Arabidopsis thaliana: one gene and its partners. The protein of the gene in region 1 interacts with the protein of each later gene in a pairwise test. Each region holds a gene or a part of one and is shown in the gene's direction. Other genes may lie near its edges. The genes, in order: AT1G44960, MAPR2, AT1G51930 and AT5G11680.

Region 1 (6,609 bases):
GGAGACATTTGTCCATGCATCTAGCAAATTAACCAGATACTCATGTTCATCTTCATGTGCCTCATATTCGTGTATTTTTAATACGCGTAGTTAAGCAATATATGATAAGCTAGAATTATAGTTTATTTTACTATATTAATTTTGACTCCACACAATGCGTGGAATACCCCCTAGTAAACTATAAAAAAAAATATGAATAGAAAGACGTAAATCTTTTTGACCTTGAATAAATAAGAAGCTTAACTTAACAAGCATCCAAAATGTATTTTTGTAATCCGTTTAATTTTATCAGAAATATTAAATTTTAAAATTTTATGATTGTGTATCATATTTAAACTAGATTTTAATCCGCGGTATATCGCGGGACGATTTATTTTTTAAAAGTAAGATATATTGAAACTTGCAAATTTTATTCTTATAAAATATTTATATTTTACAGTTTATAATTGTTACCACAATTTTTAGCTTAAAGTTTTATATTTTATAGTTTAATTTTATATATACTAACATTATACATACCACATAACATTTTTGGTTTTATATAATCTTTTCTAAATTAGGATGATTTGATATGTTTAATATTAATGGTCTTAAAAAATAATAAATTAAAGATTTAACCCGTATTGAAACGGTGATTTAATTATATTTTACTTTTTTTATTAATGTTGATTCAAAAACCCGTCCCTCCAAATCCATCTTGCCAAAAAGCCATTTATTTTATTAATATTAATTTTATTTATGATATGACTCTAAATTATAATCTAAACATTTTAGCTAATAACATAGAAGTGCACCATATTTATTTAATAGGGGAATGTACCATATGACCCGAATGCACTTTTACCCAAATCCACCAAAAAAGTCTTGCAAAAATACTATAGAGATAAGAAACGATAGTCGGTTTTGATAGGTATAAGATTAGCAAATATATTAGTTAGCTTAAATTAGTTAAAGAATACAAATTAAAAAGATATATTACACTTTATTCGAATATAGTATAAAAACTTATATAACACAGAGATTTGATAATTTTTTAATTGTTGAATACTTTTTTGTGCTAATTTTTATGTGATTAAGATTTAGTTGATTTCGTATATAAAATATTAAATTGTTTTACGAACTTATTTGTTTATAATTTGGTAACAGATAGATATTTGAATATTCAGTATATTTTGCTTAAGTTTAGGAAATCTTTGATGACCCGTCTTTAAATCAAATAAGCCCTATAATTAAGAGATGAACTAGGATTTAACCCGCGGTTTACCGCGGGCAATCGGTTTATTTGGTTCTTATACTAAATATTTGAATAAATTTGATATCCTAAACTTATAAATATAAATTTTTTAATCAGACATAACTAAATAATAATTGAGATTTTTTTTTGGTTGTTATTTAGTGATAAGAAGAATGTGTTAAAATGTGTTTAATTTTTCTTTTGTTATTTACTTATTTTTGTTGAACGGATTAGATTGAAGTGAATTAAAATTATTGAACGGTTTAGATTGAATCGGATCATATCAAGTTTAGGAGATTGTTAAGACCAAATTACCCTTAATGATTTTGAATAGCAAAGAACAAAATCCAAAATTGAAATCAAAATTGAGGCCAAATTAGACAAAATTTCAATTTGTACTTCCCTTTTAATAATAAGAGGATATTGTCGTTAAAAGATTTTGGTAATTAATGACGTCATTAAAGGATTTTGTTTTTGATTAAATTTTTCTAATGGCATTGTCATGTAATTAACTACAAAAATTAAGGTTAAATTTAAAATGTACTTCCCAAATAATATAGTAGGATACTTGTAATTTGTATCATTTATATGATATTTATATTTATATTTATATTTTATAATTGTCATTAAGTAACGATATACCACATAAGAAGTTTGTTTTGTACAATCTTATATTAATTAGACAGATGTTATATGTCTAACACTAGTGATATTAATAAATAATAAAATAAGAATTTCATCTGTATTAAAGTAGTAGGTTAATGATGTTTTATTTACTTATTAATATTGTTTCAAATCCGTTCCGCCATATAACTCCGTCTCGGAATATAACTCATCGCATATTATTTTAATTTTCCTAATATTATAAACTTTTATTGATTTTAAATACATCAATCATAATATTAATAATAATTTAAATGAAAAATTATAGAAAATAAATCGTGATTGTCAAGTTTTCACTTTTGATAATTTTTTCTTGTAATTAGTCAATTAGTGTTATATTGTGGAGAGTTGAATAGTCTCATTTTGCAATTTTAGAAGATCAAGGGTATATTTCCAAAACATTGCAGTTTTGAGGATTCAACTTGCAATTTACCCTTTTCAAAAATCACTTTCGACAATTACCAAAAACCAGTTCCCCCATTTCATTTCACGCTTTCTTCTCTTCTCATCTCAGAGCTCCGTGATGAAGAAATGGTTAGCAATCGCAGCGACGGTGGCGATAATTGCAATAATCGTTAGACAAGGCACGACACAATACGGATGGAACAAAGAGGCGGCGTTGGAAAAGCTAAAGGAATGGTCAGATCGGCTGGGGATTTGGGCGATTCCAACGTATGTAGCGGTTCACACAATAACCTTAGCTCTTTGTCTCCCTCACGCCGTCTTCTTTGAAGCTGGTGCTTCTATGCTCTTTGGTTTCCTTCCTGCTCTTCTCTGTGTTTTCTCTGCTAAAGTTCTCGCCGCTTCTTTCTCCTTCTGGATCGGCAGGTCTGCTTCTCAATTGCACTGTTATGTGATTCAAATTGATCTGTTGGATCGTTAGTTTGTGTCGCTAATGTACGAATTTGATCGAAATGATTTGGATTTAGAACAATGATTCTCACATGGCTTATCTTGGCTTCGTAGAAAGTATATGATTCATTAGTAATACACTCTGGTTTAGTTTATGTTATCGTGTTTTGTGAATGCTTAAGGTTTTACTTGGAGATGGTTTAGATTTTTCTTTAGTGCACCATTGTTGAAACCTTTTGCAGAACGTTTATTGAAATCCATTAAATTGTAAGCATGAATGATAGGAAGGGAATGTTTGTGTGAAGAAATGGTGTCATTGTTGGTTATTCAGCGGTAAGATAACACCGTTGTTCACCAAAAAGGCGGAGAAGATGCATGATATTTTCTTGCGAGATTTAGATGGATGTCTTCAGATTCTATAATGGTGTTTGGATAAGAGTGGTTGTTGTCTTGTGTATGTGACGGAGATGTAAAGAACCGTTAGATGCTTGTCATTTGCTTGTTAATATATGCTAGGGAATGATTTGCAATATTCACATTTATGCTGGATTTTTACATGGCTTCATAGAAACTATATGCTTCATTAGTAACACTCTGATTTAGTTTAAGTTATCGATTTCTGAGATTTTACTTGGAGATGTAGAATAAACTCTTTTGTTGGTTTTGATTGTCCTGCTATCGCTGAAACCTCCGTATACAGAAGTTTTCACGAAAATCCATTCTACTCTAAGCATTATAGGAAGTGGATCTTTGTGTAAAGAAATGATGTCATTTTGGCTGTTCAGAGGAAAACTAACACCGTTATTCGCCAAAAAGGCGGAGAAGATGCATGTCTTCCTATTCTATAATGGTGTGTGGATGAGATTGGTTGTTTTCTTGTGTATGTGATGGATATGTATGGACTAATTGTTAAATGCATGCTGTGATTCTAATTGCCAATTAATATATGTAGGAGAATGCAACTAGGATGTTGATTAACCTTAGCAATGTGATATGCAGTTTTATTTATTTATCTATCTATTGGGAGCACTTGCATTCTCTCATACTTTTTTGAATTTTCAGGTTTGTTTTTAAGAGTTCCACCAGAGCTACAGGGTGGGCGCATAGCAACAAGTACTTCAATATTCTCTCAAGAGGAGTTGAGCGCGATGGTTGGAAGTTTGTTCTTCTTGCAAGGTTCTCGCCCATTCCTTCCTATGTCATAAACTACGCTTTGGCAGCTACTGAAGTCCGGTTTGTAGCTGATTTTCTGTTCCCCACGGTTATTGGCTGCCTCCCGATGATCCTGCAGAACGCATCAGTCGGTAGCCTCGCTGGTATGGCTGTGGCTTCAGTAGCTGGAAAACAGAAAAGTCAGGTCTGGGGTTATGTTTTCCCAGTACTTGGGATACTGTCAAGTGTTCTGATTTCATTGAGGATCAAAAAGTACTCAGCTGGAATTACAGAGGCATCATCAGATACCTCTGCTAACAACTCTAGTTTAGCTTCATCTGAAACTGCGAATCCCGCTTATGGAACCGATGGATCCAAGAAAAGTGAGTGATTATACAAACCATGATGGTGGTTTTTGATCGCCGGTATTACACTTTGTTTGGTTTGCAGCTATCAGATTCTCAACATCATGGCTTATTTTGGACGAGTTAGGCAGTATCTTAATAGTAACAAAGCATTAGTTTTTGTACTTCTTAAGTTAAAAGCTTAGAACAAAACAACAGTGTTATTTTCTATACCAGACACAAAAACTGTGTCGTTGTAATAACACTTACCATAACATTTTCTTTCAGTGTATGTTTAAAGCCGTTTATATGGTTGAAGCAATGTGACTAAAATTTTTGTAGCATTGAAACAAGCTATATTTGCATTGCTATGGTCTTGTTTTGTGACTAAAAGACTTGGATGCAGAATGGATATAAGTTAAATGTCTGATTTTGTAAATAACTTATGAAGAGAAAATCTTTATTCGGTAAGAGTTGTTTTCTCAATGTAGCAGTTCACTCATCATTTTCAAACTTCAACTCTCAGAGAACACAAAGAGGTTAGACAGTGCAGATGCTTATGGTTGAGAAGCTTTACCTAACAATGGTACAAGGCGGTTTTGTTGGGATCACATGTGAAGTTAGGCACATGGATTCGTTCTTGGAGTTGGTACAAGGACTTCTAAAAGACAACAATGAGGTATAATAAGGACAAGTTGACTATGTCTCTCTCTTTTATCTTAACATTCTAAATTAGGATTTGGTAAACTGAGAGCAGTTAGCTTCTTGAATCTCTAAAGTATAAAAACCCTCACCGTTTTACTACTATCTCATCTTAAAACTCCCAAGTAACAAAAATGGCTATCTCAAAGCTTATTCCTACTCTTGTGCTCTTTGTTTTGTTCTCTTTTGATGTTAGTGTTGCTCATCCAGGTCTAGGATTTGGATGGGGAAGTAATAGTCCCATTGGAGGATCTTTTTACTCAAATCTTTACCCACAATTTTACCAGTTCTCTTGTCCACAAGCTGATGAGATTGTTATGACGGTGCTCGAAAAAGCCATAGCTAAAGAACCAAGAATGGCAGCATCTTTACTCAGACTTCACTTCCACGACTGCTTCGTTCAGGTAAAAGTATCTTTACCTATTTTTGTTTTCCCTTTATGTGTCTCTTAAGCTTAACACTTATACACTACACTCTGTGTGTAAACAGGGCTGTGATGCATCAATCTTGTTGGATGATAGTGCAACCATAAGAAGTGAAAAGAATGCTGGACCAAACAAGAACTCCGTTAGAGGGTTTCAAGTAATCGACGAGATCAAAGCCAAACTTGAGCAAGCTTGTCCTCAAACTGTCTCCTGCGCCGACATTCTAGCTCTAGCTGCTCGTGGCTCAACTATACTGGTAAAATTAAGAGACCTTCAAGAGAAACTATTGGCTCAGTTACAAGTTATATAGCTTATATTTATCGAATTTGTGGTTCAATGCAGAGTGGTGGACCATCATGGGAGCTTCCACTAGGGAGGAGAGACTCGAGGACCGCTAGCCTTAATGGCGCAAACACGAACATTCCTGCACCTAACTCAACTATTCAAAATCTCTTAACCATGTTCCAACGTAAAGGTTTGAACGAAGAAGACCTTGTTTCCCTATCAGGTGAGATTAACATGTATTTATCTTTTGTTTAAGGAGTTGGCAAGGAAACCAAACCGAGACCGGTTTCTTAAAACCGAATGATAACAACGTTTTTAACCAAACCAAAATGTTGCAGGAGGACATACGATTGGAGTAGCGAGGTGCACAACGTTTAAACAAAGACTATACAATCAAAACGGTAATAACCAACCAGACGAGACGCTAGAGAGGTCTTACTACTATGGTCTCAGGTCAATTTGTCCACCAACAGGCGGTGACAACAATATTTCACCTCTAGACTTAGCCTCTCCTGCAAGATTCGACAACACATACTTCAAGCTCCTTCTATGGGGCAAAGGCTTATTGACATCAGATGAAGTGCTTCTCACTGGCAATGTAGGCAAGACTGGTGCATTAGTGAAAGCTTATGCCGAAGACGAGAGACTTTTCTTCCAACAATTCGCAAAGTCGATGGTTAACATGGGAAACATTCAGCCTCTTACTGGTTTTAATGGTGAGATCAGGAAGAGTTGTCATGTGATTAACTAAAGAAACTGTGTGTTTTTGCATTATTATTGTATTAAGGGGTGATTAAGAATAAGTCGTGTTATGTTTTTCGATATGTTAGTGATCTAATTAACGTCTTTGAATGAAAATGGACGGTTGTTTTAAGAGGTGAACATGAAAATATGGTAGTTTTTACTGTATTCTTTATTTGGGTTGCGTCCGTCTTAAGACAACAAGTATCTT
Region 2 (5,003 bases), on another chromosome or scaffold:
ATAATATTGATAACTCAGCCATAACTAACTAAAATTTAAAACGCAGCCGAATAATAATCAGATATTAACTCGATCATAACTAACTAAAAGTTTACCGGAGGAGGACTAGGAGCAGCAGATTGGTTATTTGTAATTTTCTTTGGAACGTCTGGTGTCTTTTGAGTTTGGGCCTTACGATTGTCTTCCTGCGTTTGGGGCTGTGGTTTGGATAAAAACATATCTCTAATATAGCTGCTTGATTTTGAATCAGCTATGGCCTTCAGCTGCTCTTTAATCTGTTTGACGTCGTTCTCAATCGATCCAAACCTTCCTTCAAACTTTGCTTCAACACTCGATTCGATTTGACATCCAATCACATCCAGACGGGAGGACATTTCTTTTATGCTAGTATCAACGGTGTCAAATCGAGAGTTTAAGGGAGAGATCAAGTTGGACACCACATCCACGAGCGACTGCTGGTCTCCCTGACCATCCTGCTCACGAGAACGAACATCCTCGTCCTCATCAGATTCGACAGCTACTTCCTTCTTCTTCTTCTTCTCCTTCTTCTTCTTTTCTGCATCTTTCTCAAGAGAATCAACATGCTCACCGTGAGAGACCTTCTGTTTCTTAGCGGGAGATTCAGACACCTCCGCTTCTTTATCTTTTAAGAGTTTCTTCTTCTTCTCACTCGTCTTCACATCCCAATAACCTTTAACAAGCTTAACCTCGTGTAAGTCTTGGATCAAGTTATCAAGTGCTGGGTCTTCTAATTGGTCTGGCCAAAAATGAAACAGCTCGCTTAACTCAGCCTTTTCAACCATTGTACGAACACGCAGCTACAACAGGAGAGATAATAAAACCCATCAGTATGTTTAACTCAGCCATCACTTAATATAACTCAGTCGTCACTTAATATAACTCAGCCATTATAGAACATAATTCAGTCGTCACATAACATATTTGCCAAAAAAAAAGAATATAACTCAGCCTTCACAGAGAAAAATAAAACATTAACTCAGCCGTAACATAAATATTTGATAAAAAACAGAACATAACAGAGCCGAAACCGTACCTCACCACCATTCGCTTTGATATCTTCAGCAATGACCGATTCTATAGTTGAACGGGTACGGCTGCCACCCCATCTAAGCAACGGAATCTCATCCGCGTTAACAGCGTTCCCAAAACGCTCAGCGATGGTGATGATTGACTCATACGCCCAAGCCTGCAACACGAAAACCAGACCACTGACAGTGTACGTCTTGCCAATAGGCCTCAGCAACTTTATAGAAACGACAAGGGCTTCATATGCTGCCCGACCCCATGGATAAGTCTTCATGGCTTCGTCGTCGAAAACTCTTTTGGCACTCTCAAATGGTATCCTAGAGTTAGTATGCAAGCCAAAAAGTCCAATGGATAGAAGAGTCAATAACCCAAACCATCTACGTTTTTCAGTAGGCCAAGCTCTGCACGTTACTAAGCCCTGCCTAAGTTCATCTAGATTAGGACCTTCACCGGTTGGCACACGCAATTCACTGAAGAACGCTTTGTAGTCAGCTTCAGGCTCAAACTTTTCTGTAGGCAGATCATCTATATTTAAACCAGTGATATGATGAAATTCGTTCAATCCAAACCGGATGGGTTTACCAGCCACGATACACCAAAGCTCCTTCTTCAGTATTCTCAGCTGTCTGCATAGTAGATAATGTACGGTCTTACCAGACCAGAGAAAATGACTATCAACAAGCTTAGCAATTAATCCAAGCTCTGTCTCTTTCAGTTCTGCCCATATTTCTTCTCCTATTGATTCTCTAATTGCAGGGAACTCTCCCAGCTTTATATTATGATTAATGCCTTTACCCTCCAGATTAGAATCCCCCTCTTGGTAAAGTCTTGGAGGGTACTCCCTTGCTTGGTCTTCAGACATCTGTATAACCATAAATCAGCCGTAAGCATTCCATAACTCAGTCATAACATAAAACAAACTCATCCACAGATACCATAACTCAGGCAAAACATAAATCTAACTCAGCCATAGATAACATAACTCAGTCATAACATAAACCTATCTCAGCCATAGATAACATAACTCAGTCATAACATAAACCTATCTCAGCCACACATAACATAACTCAGCCATAAGATAAATCTAACTCAGCCATATTTTAACAGAAACTCAGTCAAACCATAACATAACAACAGCTCAGTTAAAACATAAACCAGACTCAGCTATATCAAAACAGAAACTCAGCCATAACATAAACAAACTCAGCCGTCATATAACAGAAACTCAGACATCGATGTAAGGTTAAACCATAACTCAGTCACAGCATAAAAAAAACTCAGACACGGATGAATTGATAAATCATAAATCAGTCGGCAAACAAACAGTAACTCAGCCGTCAAATCAAATAGATCTAAGAAATCGGCCACCATATGTCAATCAACGTCGACGTTAAAACCCAGCTTTAAAAACCATCGTTACGCATCGGAAAACGATTTCAGTGACGGGAATCACTTGAGATTGAACTTAGATGTCAGAGTCTTACTTCATTGAAAGATACTCACCGGAACTTAGATGTCGAATGTGACTTCGCGCTTACGTAAATGCGACTCCGGCGTCTGAATTTCGGCCGGAACAGACGAGAAAAGAGCAAAACGGCGAAAGAAATCGATTTCGTTCCGTCGAGAGAGAAAGTGGAAGAAAGCGACAGTTTTTTTTTTTTTTGGGAGATGATGAACAGTAAAGCTAAGAAATAAGAAACCCAAACGTTATGGAGTTTGGAGATAATTAATGACGTGGATTATGGTAATGACATGGAATAATGACATGTATAATCACTGTTTTTTCATTTAATTTTTAGTTAAAAACGAATTAAATAATAATAATTAATTAAAACTAATTAGGGGTGTTAATTGTAATTACACAATAACTGAAAACATCTGAGTAATAAAAAAAAGATGTGTTCTACTGTAGGAATAAACATACAAATGTGTTCTATCTTAGGAATTAGTTCAAATTAAATTGTCTTTTCCCAAAGCCGTCCTTTAAACCCGACGAAGTTGTTTAAGCAGCTTAAATTAAGCTCCTTGAAAGATTAAGCATTTCTGGAATTTTTATCGACTTTAATTAGAGAAAAATAAAATATTTTTTGATATTCCTTGTAAAAATCTGAAGAATAAAGTTTACTCCACTTATTACCGACACAAAAAAAGTTGTTCCACTTATTAAAAAAAAGTTATTCAGTTATAATTTTTTTAAAAAAATCCTCTGTTATATATCTCTCACTATCTTTTATTTGGTTCTTTCCAGAAACAATTGATCAGAGCTTTAAAGAAAAAGATGGAATTCACCGCAGAGCAGCTAAGCCAATACAACGGCACCGACGAATCAAAGCCGATCTACGTCGCAATCAAAGGCCGTGTGTTCGATGTCACCACCGGAAAATCCTTCTACGGCTCCGGAGGCGATTACTCGATGTTCGCCGGAAAAGACGCGAGCAGAGCTTTGGGTAAGATGAGTAAGAACGAAGAAGATGTGTCTCCTTCTCTTGAAGGTCTCACTGAGAAAGAGATCAATACTCTTAATGATTGGGAGACCAAATTTGAAGCTAAGTATCCTGTCGTTGGCCGTGTTGTCTCTTAGGTCTCTCTTCTGAGATTGCACTATGTTATGTAACTATTGTGTGTGAGGATCTTTGTGTTGTGTGTTTTCTGATTTCGTGTTTGGATCTGATCGTTTTGATACAATTACCATAAGTACCAAATTATCTATGAAATAAATCGGGGATTTCGTGTTCTCAGTGGTCTTCATATTCTGATCTTAAGGTTACTTTGTTGTGCTTACCAAAAAAAAAAGGTTACTTTGTTGTGATGATTAGGATTTTAGGAGTTTTAAGTCTCATATGTATTTGATGAGAGGATATAAAGATTGGTTTGTGTCTTTCATATCTTGCAAATACTTGGAGCTAATTGTGTCTGGTGAAAGAAAAACTGATGGTTTCTGAAATCTGAGCAACACCAAACTTACTGGTAGTTTTGGATTCGGTGTAAATTATCTTACAAGTTCCAAGTTGTTGTTAATTTTAGTCTTTTGCGTTATGAGATTTGGAAGAATATAGTTATGATGAACATTCAGAATTCATAGAAGCTAATGTGTGTCTTCTTTGATTCTTTCTTACTTCTCCCGGTCTAAATTATTATCATCACTTGTATGACTTCGGCCCTGTTCGGCATGGCGTTCTTGCGACTAATATGTTGCTTTAACGCCAAGTCTTAGGTTTGAGGGAGAGCTGTTCATGGGTAGAGTTGTTCTTGGCTCGAGTTGACTTGTGTCGTGTGTAGTGGCTGTGGCCTATAGCTATGCTTGTTTATCAAGAGAGAGGCATCCTAACTTAGATATTATTTTGACATTTTAAATAAAAAAATGCACAAACCACCACCTCCAAGAACTAGCTACCTTGCTGGATTTGAACCAAACCTAGAACATAAATGAGGAGACGTGGAGGGGTAGGAGATTCGGCACCATGTTGATCCTCAGGTAGGTATTTATCCTTTCCCACAATTTGTAAAACGTTGTTGGAGAACCCGGGGTGATTACAAGACACTACAACTTTGTTCTCTATGTCGACTAAGAAACTCAACCCAAAACATAACCCTAAATGATAGCGGTCATCAAATTTCGACACTGTCAGGAACTTGCTCTATGAAATGGCTTCGTACTCTCCATCTTATTCGCTATCCATACCTCAGAGCTCTGAGCAGCAAATATACAAAGTTGTTGCGCTTCTCTAGTCATTGACAAAGTCGCAAAACAATAAGAACGAGGCGATCTTAAATATTAACCAAAGAGAGTTCGCCCTAGGTCTTCTCTCCCGGGCACGATCTCCGAGGAAGCCGCCCCTCCATGCTCCAAGACAAGATGGACCTCCGCCGCCGCTGCTCCGCCGCTCAATTATCCTCTTCCTTCTGAAGCCGCTCTGCTCTTCCTTCTCGGGTCAGATCCTCGTCGTTCGTCGGAA
Region 3 (4,924 bases), 2.3 Mb from region 1:
CAAGTTTCTATTTTTAGTATCATGAAACTTAAGTTTAGATGTTTCTGTATTTGTTTCCAAATTTGGAAAGATGACCAGGTGAATCACACTGCAAAGAGTGGTAGTCATGTGCCTTATATATGGATTGTTGGTGGTCTTGGAGTTGTGCTTGCACTTCTTGTTCTGTGCATACTTGTATGTATCTGTTTGAGATCATCTAGTTGCAGTTCCAGTGAGGAAGATGGTAATGGACACAACTTCCAAATCCTTAGAAAATCCGGTTTCTTTTGCGGTTCTGGTCGGTATAACTGCTGTAGATCAGGGGATTTTAGACAAACCAATGGTGAAACTCAAGTTGTTGCTATTCCTAAAGGTTTGGTTTTTGGTTTCATCATCTGTGGTTTCTCTTTTAAAGAGTTTTCTTTTTTAATTGTTTTACGGATTTTTTCTCTTGTATGAATGTAGCTCTTGGTGATGGAATGTTTGAGATAGAGAAGCCTATGGTGTTTACTTATGAAGAAATTCGTGCGGCTACGGATGAGTTTTCGGATTCTAATCTTCTTGGTCATGGAAACTATGGTTCTGTATACTTTGGTCTACTTAGAGAACAGGTTTGTTTTTCATTTCCTTGTTTTGAGTTGTCGTAATGGCTTTACTTGATGTCATATTTGGTTTAACTTATCACAGGAAGTTGCTGTCAAAAGGATGACTGCTACAAAAACTAAAGAGTTTGCAGCAGAGATGAAAGTGCTTTGCAAAGTTCATCATTCCAATCTGGTAAATTCCCTTTGTGTGTATATCTTTTTTATTAGTCTAAAATCATTCGAGATTATGACTCTTATGTTTGCTTTTCGTCTTGTCAAAGGTAGAATTGATTGGTTACGCTGCAACCGTTGACGAGCTTTTCGTAGTTTATGAATATGTCCGAAAGGGAATGCTGAAAAGCCATTTGCATGATCCTCAGAGCAAAGGTAAAGAGACTAATATTAATACCCGACAAGAACTAACAAGAAGATGATATAAATGATATATTTCTTGATGTTATTGAAGGAAATACCCCACTTTCTTGGATAATGAGGAATCAGATTGCACTTGACGCAGCAAGAGGCTTGGAATATATTCATGAGCATACTAAAACTCATTATGTTCACCGAGATATCAAGACAAGCAATATTTTGCTCGACGAGGCATTCAGGGCTAAGGTCTTAGTCTGAACTTATGAAATCCATTACATGTTCTGATTCTTATAGAGGAGAATTTGGTTGATCTTATCTTTGCATTGTGTTTAGATATCGGATTTTGGACTTGCAAAACTCGTTGAGAAAACTGGAGAGGGAGAAATATCAGTAACTAAAGTAGTTGGTACATATGGTTATCTTGCACCAGAGTAAGCATTTGAACACTTGAAGAAGCTACATTGAGTTTTAATACAAGAATACTTTAGTGAATTCTTATCTGTGACTTTTCTGTCTTTTCTTTTGCAGATATCTAAGCGACGGTCTTGCCACCTCGAAAAGTGATATTTACGCCTTTGGTGTTGTTCTTTTCGAAATTATATCCGGAAGAGAAGCTGTTATAAGAACGGAGGCGATTGGAACTAAGAATCCAGAAAGACGTCCATTGGCATCTATTGTAAGTTCTTGGAGTTTGTTTATAAAGATTGAACCATTACACTTCTTTCTTTGATGCAACATTCATTCGCAAAGCCCTTTTTTGTTGTTCTTGCAGATGTTAGCAGTGCTAAAGAACTCACCAGACTCTATGAACATGTCGAGTTTGAAGGAGTTTGTTGACCCCAACATGATGGATTTATACCCGCATGACTGTTTGTTCAAGGTAAACTAAGAAACAAATGCTTAATTAGTAGTTGGAAAAATGTAGTAACCATATGATTTATTTCATTGTAAATGAATTTTGTGGACAGATTGCTACGTTGGCAAAGCAATGTGTGGATGATGATCCGATTCTAAGACCAAACATGAAGCAAGTGGTTATATCGCTCTCGCAGATACTCCTGTCTTCCATTGAATGGGAAGCCACTCTTGCTGGAAACAGCCAAGTCTTTAGTGGTCTAGTCCAAGGAAGATAAAAACAATAAAAACTTAGAACCCTTTCTTTATTTTCAATTTATGAATGTCGCCATTGCCTAGAAGAAGCTTAGTTTGTCTAAACCAAAAGATCGTTCGCAGTCTAACTAAGTAGATAGTTACAGAGACAAATCTCTATATGATTATTCTTTTGGAGAATCAAATGAAGAGATGTATGAGTTTATATGCTTAAGATATGTTGCAATCTTACAAACAAAACATCACTTTATAATCTTACAAATTACAATAGATTGATGATGATGCATGACACAGAACCATATAATTTTTGGACATAATCAATACTTTGTAAGAGAAAGTGTGAAGGTCTGAGAATCTATGAAGACTTAGAGATAGAAGGTCACTGTTGTAATCTTTTTCGATTCCCATACTAACTCTGGTTTTAGCTTATATAATACAAAATCTAAAAGCATAAAAGGCTTAACGTAGTAAGTAATCTTGGCCCAGCATAGGCCCAATAAACCACATTCAGATCGTATCATCATATTCTTATTTTTAATTCAACCAAATTATCTTGTGTTTCAAACCAATATCTCCTTGATATTTTTGTAAATTTTTGTGTGCGCAGATAATGATTTCTCAGTGATGACTATAAACTCTATTTGGCATCAATTAAAAGTTTTGACCAAGGGTTTCAAACTAAACGACGTCGTTAGGGTTCTCTTGGGATGCAAGCATGTGTTTTCACATGATTAATCCAAATAACAAAAGGAAAAAGAAAATAAAACTCAAATCCTAATTCCTAATGGGAAGATTGGTTTTGATATTATAAAGTAAAATAAATCACGTTTTTGATATTTCTTCTGGTAGGAACGAACGAAAACGTAGTATTCGTGAGGATGGATACTATTGACGAAATTCTCATTGGTTTCTCCATCATCGGCTTGATCGTCATCGTGATTGCTAACTGTTGCGACAATATAGATCCCCCTCCCACGAGATTACCTCCCGAGACAATCCATCAAACTGTACAGCCTCAACAAGACATTGAAACCGGACAGAGCAAAGCCCTAGTGTTCAAAGATATCAAAGAAGAAGAAGGAGGAAGAGAAGAAGAAGGTGGTGGTAAACGTTTTTGTCCAATTTGTTTGGAAGAGTACGAGGATGATCATCAGATTAGGCGTTTAAGAAACTGTGGACATGTTTTTCATCTTTTGTGTATTGATTCTTGGCTTACACAGAAACAAAACTGTCCAAGTTGTCGCCGTTCTGTTGATTTGATGAGTTTAGGTCTTTAGACTATTAGGTTTTATTTATTTATCATTACTAAGTGAATATAGTCATATCTTTTGGTTAAGGTATCAATTATATTTACATTAATCAAAGTTTTGGTCAATGGTTGAAAAATCGAACTCAAGTTGACTTTGAAGCTTTTTTTTGTTGTTGTGTTGTTGTTATTAGGACATGTGAACAGAGAAACATGGACTGCAAAAGACTTTTTTTCTTATTCTTATTTTTTTTTTGGGTACCAAGTCAGGCTTTTTTATGTTACATTTTCATGGAGATTGAGAGTGGTGATGAGTTTGAGTGACAATAGGAGATGCACAACATCTGCAGCAACTTCCTAGCGGAGCTGGCTCACAACACACACAAGCAGGGCAAATCGGTCTTCTCGAGCTAATAGGAGCTGATGTGAAATACATACCAAGAAAGATTGATCCATACAGATCACTTTACTAATCTAATATTGGAAACTATTGTAGGTATATATAAAGTTTAGTTTGATGCCTTGAGTTGTTACCTCTTGGGATACGAGTAGCGTTGCTTTGAGACAAGGGAAGAACAAGTAGCAGAAACAAGACAAAGAGCTTCAAGAAGATGGATTTTCCACTGTGAAACGACGCCATTGATGCTTTGGTTTGTTATGCTTTGTGTTCGTAGAGGATTAAGGGTAATCATATTTATATGCGTTTTTAAAGATGACTTTTCCACAGACCATTCTAAGATTCAAAGTCTCTATTTCTGAGTTGAATGAGAATTCAAAGGTTCCTCAAACATTGACCGATCCACTTTAATAATAAGTTTAAAACGAAGCTACAAGGCAAACAAAACATATAGAATACTTTTTTTTTTATCCTATAACAATCAAAGTAGAATGGCCTGAGTGACAAGATTCATACGGAGTCTAATCTTTTGATTGCTTATTCACATGTAAATAAGATCATATTAAACACATGACAAGGTGTTAGACGAAATCAAAGTCGAAGCTTTTAGGGATTTTTGGGGCATCGACATGGGCAGCAAGCACCTCGTGGAGCCGGTGCACAACACACACACGAAGGACACACGCGCCTCAGCATACGCGTTTCAGCTATAAGAAAAAGAAAACAATTCACCTAAGAAAACTGCGATGTATTATATATAAATCCCAAAAAGATTAGCTAACCATCTAGATGCGCTCGAGTTGCTTGACATGGAAGGATTGGAGATAAGACCAAAGCAAGTACGAGAACGGAAATGAGCATGGTTGAGAATCGCTCGGTGGCCATTGCAGCTTTCTGATAAATGCTTAGAAACTTAATAAGATTTCAGATGCAGTTTGAGACCATAGTAAATGATGTTTATATTAGTCAAGAAAAAAAATATTACTCGTTGGATGATATCTATTGAAAGTTCAGAAATTTAAGTTTTCCTTTTCTTTTCTTTGTCCACTAGTTTTTATTTGTCTTCCTTTCCTTTATCCACTAGTTAATGGGATATTTATAGCTACAATTCTAACACCATAGATTTACTTTTACTTGTGAATTGTTAATTTTCATTAAATTTTGACCATTTTGCACATACACATTCACATATCAAACACATACATGCTAGCAGAAAGCAAAGTCACATCCTTTGGG
Region 4 (6,690 bases), on another chromosome or scaffold:
CAGAGAGGAATCCAAGTTATTGTTGTTACTGATGGTGAGCGGATTCTCGGTCTGGGAGATCTTGGTTGCCAGGTAATAAATAAGTTCTTGAGTTACACTTGAAACTTAAACATTTTGTGTTGAAAGTTCACATCTATCATCTGTTTGAACGATTTCAATATTTTCCAGGGAATGGGAATTCCAGTGGGGAAACTTTCTCTTTACACCGCTTTGGGAGGAATCCGTCCATCAGCTGTAAGCACTAGAACAAAAGCTGCTCTAGAAATTGGTTCTACTTGATTGATAACTCAATAACTGTTTTGATCCTAAATGAAAATCGGCTTTCAAATGCAGTGTCTTCCAATCACCATTGATGTGGGTACAAACAATGAGAAGTTGCTAAATGATGAATTCTACATCGGTCTTAAACAGCGAAGAGCAACTGGCCAGGTTTACTAATCAATTCCTATCAGTGTTTTCTCTTCTTATAGCAAATACTATGATTTTTCAAAAACTGAGAAGTCTATTTGCTTTTGTGATTCAGGAATATGCTGAATTCCTGCACGAATTCATGTGCGCTGTAAAGCAGAACTATGGAGAGAAAGTGTTGGTTCAGGTGAGCCATAGGATACTCTCTTAAGAACTATGATTGTTGTCAGAACTACGATAAAAGATGTCCGGAATTAATATCATACACTCATCTTTTCAGTTTGAAGATTTTGCAAACCACAATGCGTTTGACCTTTTGTCTAAGTACAGTGATAGCCATCTTGTCTTCAATGACGATATCCAGGTAGCATCTTCTCCTCAAGATTGATCTTTTTTTTCTTAAATTTTTGGTTGTGATGTCAGAGTGCTTACCAAGAACTTGATTTTGTTTTCTGTAATTGCAGGGTACTGCATCCGTGGTGCTTGCTGGGCTTATTGCCGCTCAGAAGGTGCTTGGTAAAAAACTGGCTGACCATACCTTCCTGTTCTTGGGTGCCGGAGAGGTGAGACCAGAAAGCATTATACTCTATAAGCTTATAATTCTTACATTTATTTTTTGCTGCTTACACTTTATCTCGCTGATTCTTTGAAGGCTGGAACCGGTATCGCTGAGCTAATTGCTCTTAAGATTTCGAAAGAGGTTAGTCAATCTGGGAGTTTTCTTGCATTTGATCTGTTTTTTGGCTAAGAGTATGTGATTGATCATATCTGTTTTTTTTTTTGTAGACTGGAGCTCCCATCACTGAGACCCGGAAGAAGATTTGGCTTGTGGACTCCAAGGTATTGTTAGGCGCCAACCACCAAGATCAGTCTCATCTTTTTTAGCTATACCGTTCTTGTTCATATATGTTTCTCTTTTGAACATTATTTTGCAGGGACTGATTGTTAGCTCACGCAAAGAATCTCTTCAGCACTTCAAGCAGCCATGGGCACATGAGCACAAACCTGTGAAGGACCTCATTGGTGCTGTTAATGTACGTGATGAACTGATCTTTAAATTGCTTGATAGTGAATAGAGAATCTTTTTGTTCACTGTTTGTTGAAACTTTTTCAAACAGGCAATCAAGCCAACCGTTCTCATTGGAACATCCGGTGTGGGTCAGACTTTCACAAAAGAAGTTGTCGAGGCCATGGCTACCAACAACGAGGTTTCTTCTTGTTCTTACTCTCTGCTTTTTCAGAAAACAAGGTATTTATGCTATTTTTCTAATGCTGGTCTTGGTGTTGGCTTATAGAAACCGTTGATTCTTGCTCTCTCAAACCCTACTTCTCAAGCTGAGTGTACTGCTGAACAGGCTTACACATGGACCAAGGTATAATATTGTCTCATATGACATCTAAATGTGATTCATGTCCTCACTCCTGATTATACAACAAAATTATAATTTGGTTTTCATGCTGCTCCTCGAATCTAATCATATATTGTGCTTAAAAAAAGGGTCGTGCAATCTTTGGAAGTGGAAGCCCATTTGATCCTGTTGTGTACGATGGCAAAACCTACTTGCCTGGCCAGGTTCGTGCTATTTCAACAACTTCTTCTCTCTCAACTTTGTACATCTGACAATCTTAGAGCTCACATCATATTTCCACTATCCTACTTAACTTCAGGCAAACAATTGCTACATTTTCCCTGGTCTGGGTCTTGGTTTGATCATGTCTGGGGCAATTCGTGTCCGTGATGACATGCTCCTCGCAGCTTGTAAGTAAAAATAAACTTCAGAAAATCAAACATGGATACTGATAAAGACACTTAAAGATTCTCAATGTCATCTCTCTCTCATGTTTTCAACAGCTGAAGCATTGGCCGCACAAGTGACAGAAGAGCATTACGCCAATGGTCTGATCTACCCGCCATTCTCAAACATCAGAGAGATCTCTGCTAACATTGCAGCCTGTGTCGCCGCCAAAACCTATGACCTCGGTTAGTTGAATGAAACTGTCTTAACTCTTTTAATGAGACTGTCTGAACTCTCTAATCTCAAGTTCTAAAATCGATGTATTGTGGTGTAGGATTGGCGTCGAACCTGCCACGTGCAAAGGATCTTGTCAAGTTTGCAGAGAGCAGCATGTACAGCCCTGTGTACAGAAACTACCGTTAAAAAAGTTTTGTTGAAGAAACCTGCAGATTATACTATTCACAACCCTTGATAGTTTCTTAAGGCTTGTATTTAAGTTTTTTGTTTGTTTGTTTGTTGTTTGTTTTCTCTTCTACATTATGATGCTGTTTGTGAACTCTCTCTCTGTCTTTGCTGATAAATAATAAATTGTTACTAATATAATCTACAAATCATTATTGTCTCAAAGTTACACTTTCCATCCCACATCACAAAATCGATCAACTTGTCTTGGAAGGGAATAATATGCTTTTTTCTGCCACTTGTTGTATCTTATTGGTTGTTTTATTAAAATGGTATAATTGTTGCAGAATTAAAGAACTTGTATCATTATTTTGAAGAGTTTATCAAAAGTTTCATATAGATAATAGGACTATAGAAGCATAGCTGAATACTCTTTTGAAAGTGGTTTCTAAATTGTACTGAGCAAAATGTTCTAAAAACAACAAAACTCCTAATCTTAAGCTAATGATTTTGGCATTTTAGGTAACTACTTGTTATAAATAGCTAAAACAATAACAAGAATCTCTAAAACTCGTCTTCACGTTTTGGTTAAAATCGAAAGCTCAAACAATCCAAACCAAAACTAAACCGAAACAAGATGTCAAAAAAATAAATAAACACCTAAACCGAAACCAAAGTTAAAACAACTGAAAATGGGCTGAACGGTCCCTTTAATCTGAGATGTAATAAGGCCCAAATAGTAACTGTAGATGGGGACAATTGTAACGAAATCAAATTGCGGGCGAAAATCGAACTAAAGAAATAAGTAGAGGGACGAATAAAATGGTTAGAAGGTTTTAAGAATAAACCGCGTCGCGTCTCTTTTCTGGAAAAAACGAGAAACTGTGATCTTGGCCCTTTTATTACCCCTATCCTCTTCTTCTTCAATCTCTCCGATCAAAATCCTTTTAAGCTCTGTAGACCCAGGTATGTTCCTTCAGCTTTTCTATTCGCGAGAAAATTACGAGTAAAGGATTGCTTGAAATTGAACTTGGATCGTTCTGTTACTGCTTTCTTATTGCTATCAGATTTTGATTCTCTAAGGAATTAGATATTTTCTTTGTTGATTGATTTGTTTTGAACACGTATTATTAATCCTAGTCTTTGTTTCTACATTATAGGAACGTTTCGATTTGAATTAGCTAAAAACCTCAATTTTATTTGCTCTTTTGCATATCTGAAATTGGAAGCTGATGATATGTGGATGTTAATTGGCTCTAGTTACTTGGATCTGTGAATAATTATTTGCTAATTTGGAGCATGTTCCTTTGAATTATCTTCTGATTGTCTAAGTATATTTGGAAATGTGTTTATATTCTCATTTGTGTGATCAGGTTACGCAGAGAAGAAGAACAGAACAAGGAATTATATAATCATTGGCTTGATCAATCTGAATTGCAGTTCATGGCGCTAAACCCTCAATTACTACCCAATGGGATGCCTGTTCCCTTTGTTAATGAAATGTTCGTCCTAGTCCGAGATGGTGTTGAGTTTGAAGTCGACAAGATCCCTGGGTTCGTGTTCCCTTCTCTCGTCACGCATGTTTTGGATCTCCTTAAGTGGTTTATTGATTTGATGATTATTGTTGGTCTCCATTTTAGTACCGTTTTGAGTCGGTTTAGATCCACTCATCTAGCATATGAACCATTAAGTTTACTTGTAAATAAGATAAGTCTCAGAAGTGAACAGACATATGAGCTCTGGGCTTTAAACACTTCCCTGATGTTCTTTCTTGTTGTATGATCCAGAGGGCATGGAGGTCATGTTAAGGCCAAGGGGGTGATTTACTTGTCTAATATACGGATGGTCTTTGTTTCAAGCAAGCCTGTTGACAACTTTGTTGCTTTTGACATGCCCCTGGTACAGTAACTTTATCTTATTTTTGTCTCTGATTTAGTTAATACATGGCACAAGTGTAGCTCTGTTAAATTTGGTTATGGAACTACATGCTACATATTAGCTTATGGATTATATGTTACTCTGTAGCTTTACATCCATGCCGAGAAATTTAATCAGCCAATATTTCACTGCAACAATATTGCTGGACAAGTGGAGCCTGTAAGTACAAACTTTCATGGAGAATTTATAGTTTCTTTCCTTGTAAGGAAACTATACATATTTACTTATTGGCATGTAACAAAATTTCCAGGTGGTGCCAGAAAATGAGCATAGAGCTCTATATTCAACACACAGTTTCAAGATCCTATTTAAGGAAGGTGGTTGTGGGACATTTGTTCCTCTCTTCTTGAATCTCATATCATCAGTGAGACAATACAACAGACAAATGCAACAAGCAGCAGAAGCAGCAGCGGCAGCTCCTCATGTTGATCCTCTTCAAGCCGCTCAGACACCTGTGGACGAAATGATGAGACATGCGTAAGTCCCATCAGAAATCAATCGGAAAGTTTTTTGATAGTAGTAAAAGCTGTTGTTCCTCATAAAATCTTGTGTGGTCGTCATTGTGTATGTGCAGGTACGTGGACCCTAATGATCCAACGAGGATATATCTGCAACAGCCATCAGGGGAATCTCAGTTGAGGCGTAGAGCTTACCATTCGGGTGCGGCGGAACATTGAGATACACGGAAAAAAAAAATACAAAGGCTATGAATACAGAAACAGCAACAGATTAGTGTTGCTAATAAGCAAAACGTGTTGTTTGTTTGTTTAAAGTTGAAAACTAAAAGTCTAAAACCATCTGTGTAAAGAAAGATGAGACTTGTTTGGTGTGTGGATGTATCTGGTAAAATTGGAGTCGTAATAATCATAAGTTTGGTTCATATATTGAACAAAATGTGGGTCGAAAACCCTGCCGGTTCGCCTGAACCATGAAAAGTCGGATTTGGCTGATCCGCACGCTCAATTTTCTTCAGCTAAATCGCGAATACTTGAGCTTGTAGTAAGTCGTGGCCACTAGTGGGACACACAAAACCACAAAACATATATTTTGCAAGCTAAAACCCAATGGACTAAGATTTGAGGTTCAGGGTTGGACCATAAAATTTGGAATGGATAATCGGATACTTTAGGTTGGGTTGGTAGTTTTCAATATTGAAATTGGGTTTTTGGACCTTTCCTTAGTTTTTGATTTAAAACAAAATTGTAAAAGAAAATGAAAATACGAAGGTGGCATTCTAGCTTTATTTTCCAGAGAAAGTGGCTTTCCAGCCATTTATTAAAAAAAACAAAGACCAGGGTGTTTTTTTTCTGACAAAACAAATTGTAACACTCACTAGGCATAGCATTCTAGTTAGTTCTGCAGAAATTTATAGCGACACTGGTCCAAATTAGGAGGAGCGAGAGCGAAGGTACGAGTGAGGATTTACAATTGTCGATCGTTTTCACCTAGAAACCCTAATTTCGGGGGCTCGCACGCCCTCTCTGATTAGAAGCGACTTCATTATCGGTCACTAGAATCTGCTGCTTCTTTTCTGGTTAGTGTTTAACCAAGCTCCGTTTTGTTTGCTCTTAATGGAATCAGAATTTCTATCATTCCTAGATTAGTTTCTGTGATGTATATCTCTGGTATTCGGATTCTTGTGCTGAGCTCAATTCATAAGCGGAGGATTTCTTAGCTTCGATAATTAGCCCTTTTCAAAATTTGCAGCTTTTTATGCGGTTTGTTCTTAAGATGATTGGTTCATTCAGTTTTGTTGTGAGATCTCTGACCTTCCTCTGTAGAAACTAGCATTGTCAGGAACATGGACACTAAGAAGAAATCTAAGGAACATGGCCTATACCGTATAGTCAATGCTATCGGTTATGCATTTGGAGCGGGAGCTGTTGGAGGTTCTGTATATCATTTCGTGAGAGGGGCATACAATTCCCCAATAGGTGCTCGATATGTTGGAGGAACACAAGCGGCTAGCATGAATGCTCCTCGCTTGGGAGGCACTTTTGCTGTATTTGGAGGATTGCTCTCAACATTTGACTATGCATTGGTGCGCATCAGGAAGAAGGAAGATCCATGGAACTCCATCGTAGCGGGTGCTGCTACAGGTGGAGTTCTGTCTATCCGAAAAGGGGTTGTTGCAGCTTCAACATCAGCGGTTATGTTTGGTTTTTTTTTGGCTGTACTCAACCCTCCGTTCGGGAGCAAGTAAGCT

What was found.
Region 2: the proteins of AT1G44960 (region 1) and MAPR2 interact in a protein complementation assay, tested with the Arabidopsis thaliana proteins (one large-scale study listed by BioGRID).
Region 3: the proteins of AT1G44960 (region 1) and AT1G51930 interact in a protein complementation assay, tested with the Arabidopsis thaliana proteins (one large-scale study listed by BioGRID).
Region 4: the proteins of AT1G44960 (region 1) and AT5G11680 interact in a protein complementation assay, tested with the Arabidopsis thaliana proteins (one large-scale study listed by BioGRID).

Annotation. Positions count from the first base shown.
Region 1 is NC_003070.9:16,997,156-17,003,764, forward strand, and holds AT1G44960 (SNARE associated Golgi protein family), read left to right. Parts: upstream 1-2,290; 5' UTR 2,291-2,420; coding exon 2,421-2,725; intron 2,726-3,811; coding exon 3,812-4,292; 3' UTR 4,293-4,579; downstream 4,580-6,609. Other genes in the region: AT1G44970 (Peroxidase superfamily protein), read left to right, coding at 5,082-5,351, 5,437-5,628, 5,715-5,880, 5,996-6,408.
Region 2 is NC_003071.7:10,606,122-10,611,124, forward strand, and holds MAPR2 (membrane-associated progesterone binding protein 2), read left to right. Parts: upstream 1-3,295; 5' UTR 3,296-3,325; coding exon 3,326-3,628; 3' UTR 3,629-3,779; downstream 3,780-5,003.
Region 3 is NC_003070.9:19,293,236-19,298,159, reverse strand, and holds AT1G51930 (RING/U-box superfamily protein), read left to right. Parts: upstream 1-2,923; coding exon 2,924-3,322; downstream 3,323-4,924. Other genes in the region: LYK3 (protein kinase family protein / peptidoglycan-binding LysM domain-containing protein), read left to right, coding at 71-352, 445-590, 667-756, 845-950, 1,030-1,181, 1,269-1,366, 1,464-1,611, 1,708-1,815 and 1 more; AT1G51920 (uncharacterized protein), read right to left, coding at 3,581-3,711, 3,826-3,931; AT1G51915 (cryptdin protein-like protein), read right to left, coding at 4,295-4,395, 4,471-4,573; AT1G51913 (uncharacterized protein), read right to left, coding at 4,911-4,924.
Region 4 is NC_003076.8:3,755,474-3,762,163, forward strand, and holds AT5G11680 (classical AGP protein), read left to right. Parts: upstream 1-3,335; 5' UTR 3,336-3,512; intron 3,513-3,919; 5' UTR 3,920-3,989; coding exon 3,990-4,099; intron 4,100-4,333; coding exon 4,334-4,445; intron 4,446-4,571; coding exon 4,572-4,643; intron 4,644-4,734; coding exon 4,735-4,961; intron 4,962-5,058; coding exon 5,059-5,161; 3' UTR 5,162-5,440; downstream 5,441-6,690. Other genes in the region: NADP-ME2 (NADP-malic enzyme 2), read left to right, coding at 1-72, 169-234, 334-429, 524-595, 689-772, 873-971, 1,061-1,108, 1,195-1,248 and 7 more; TIM17-3 (translocase inner membrane subunit 17-3), read left to right, coding at 6,286-6,687.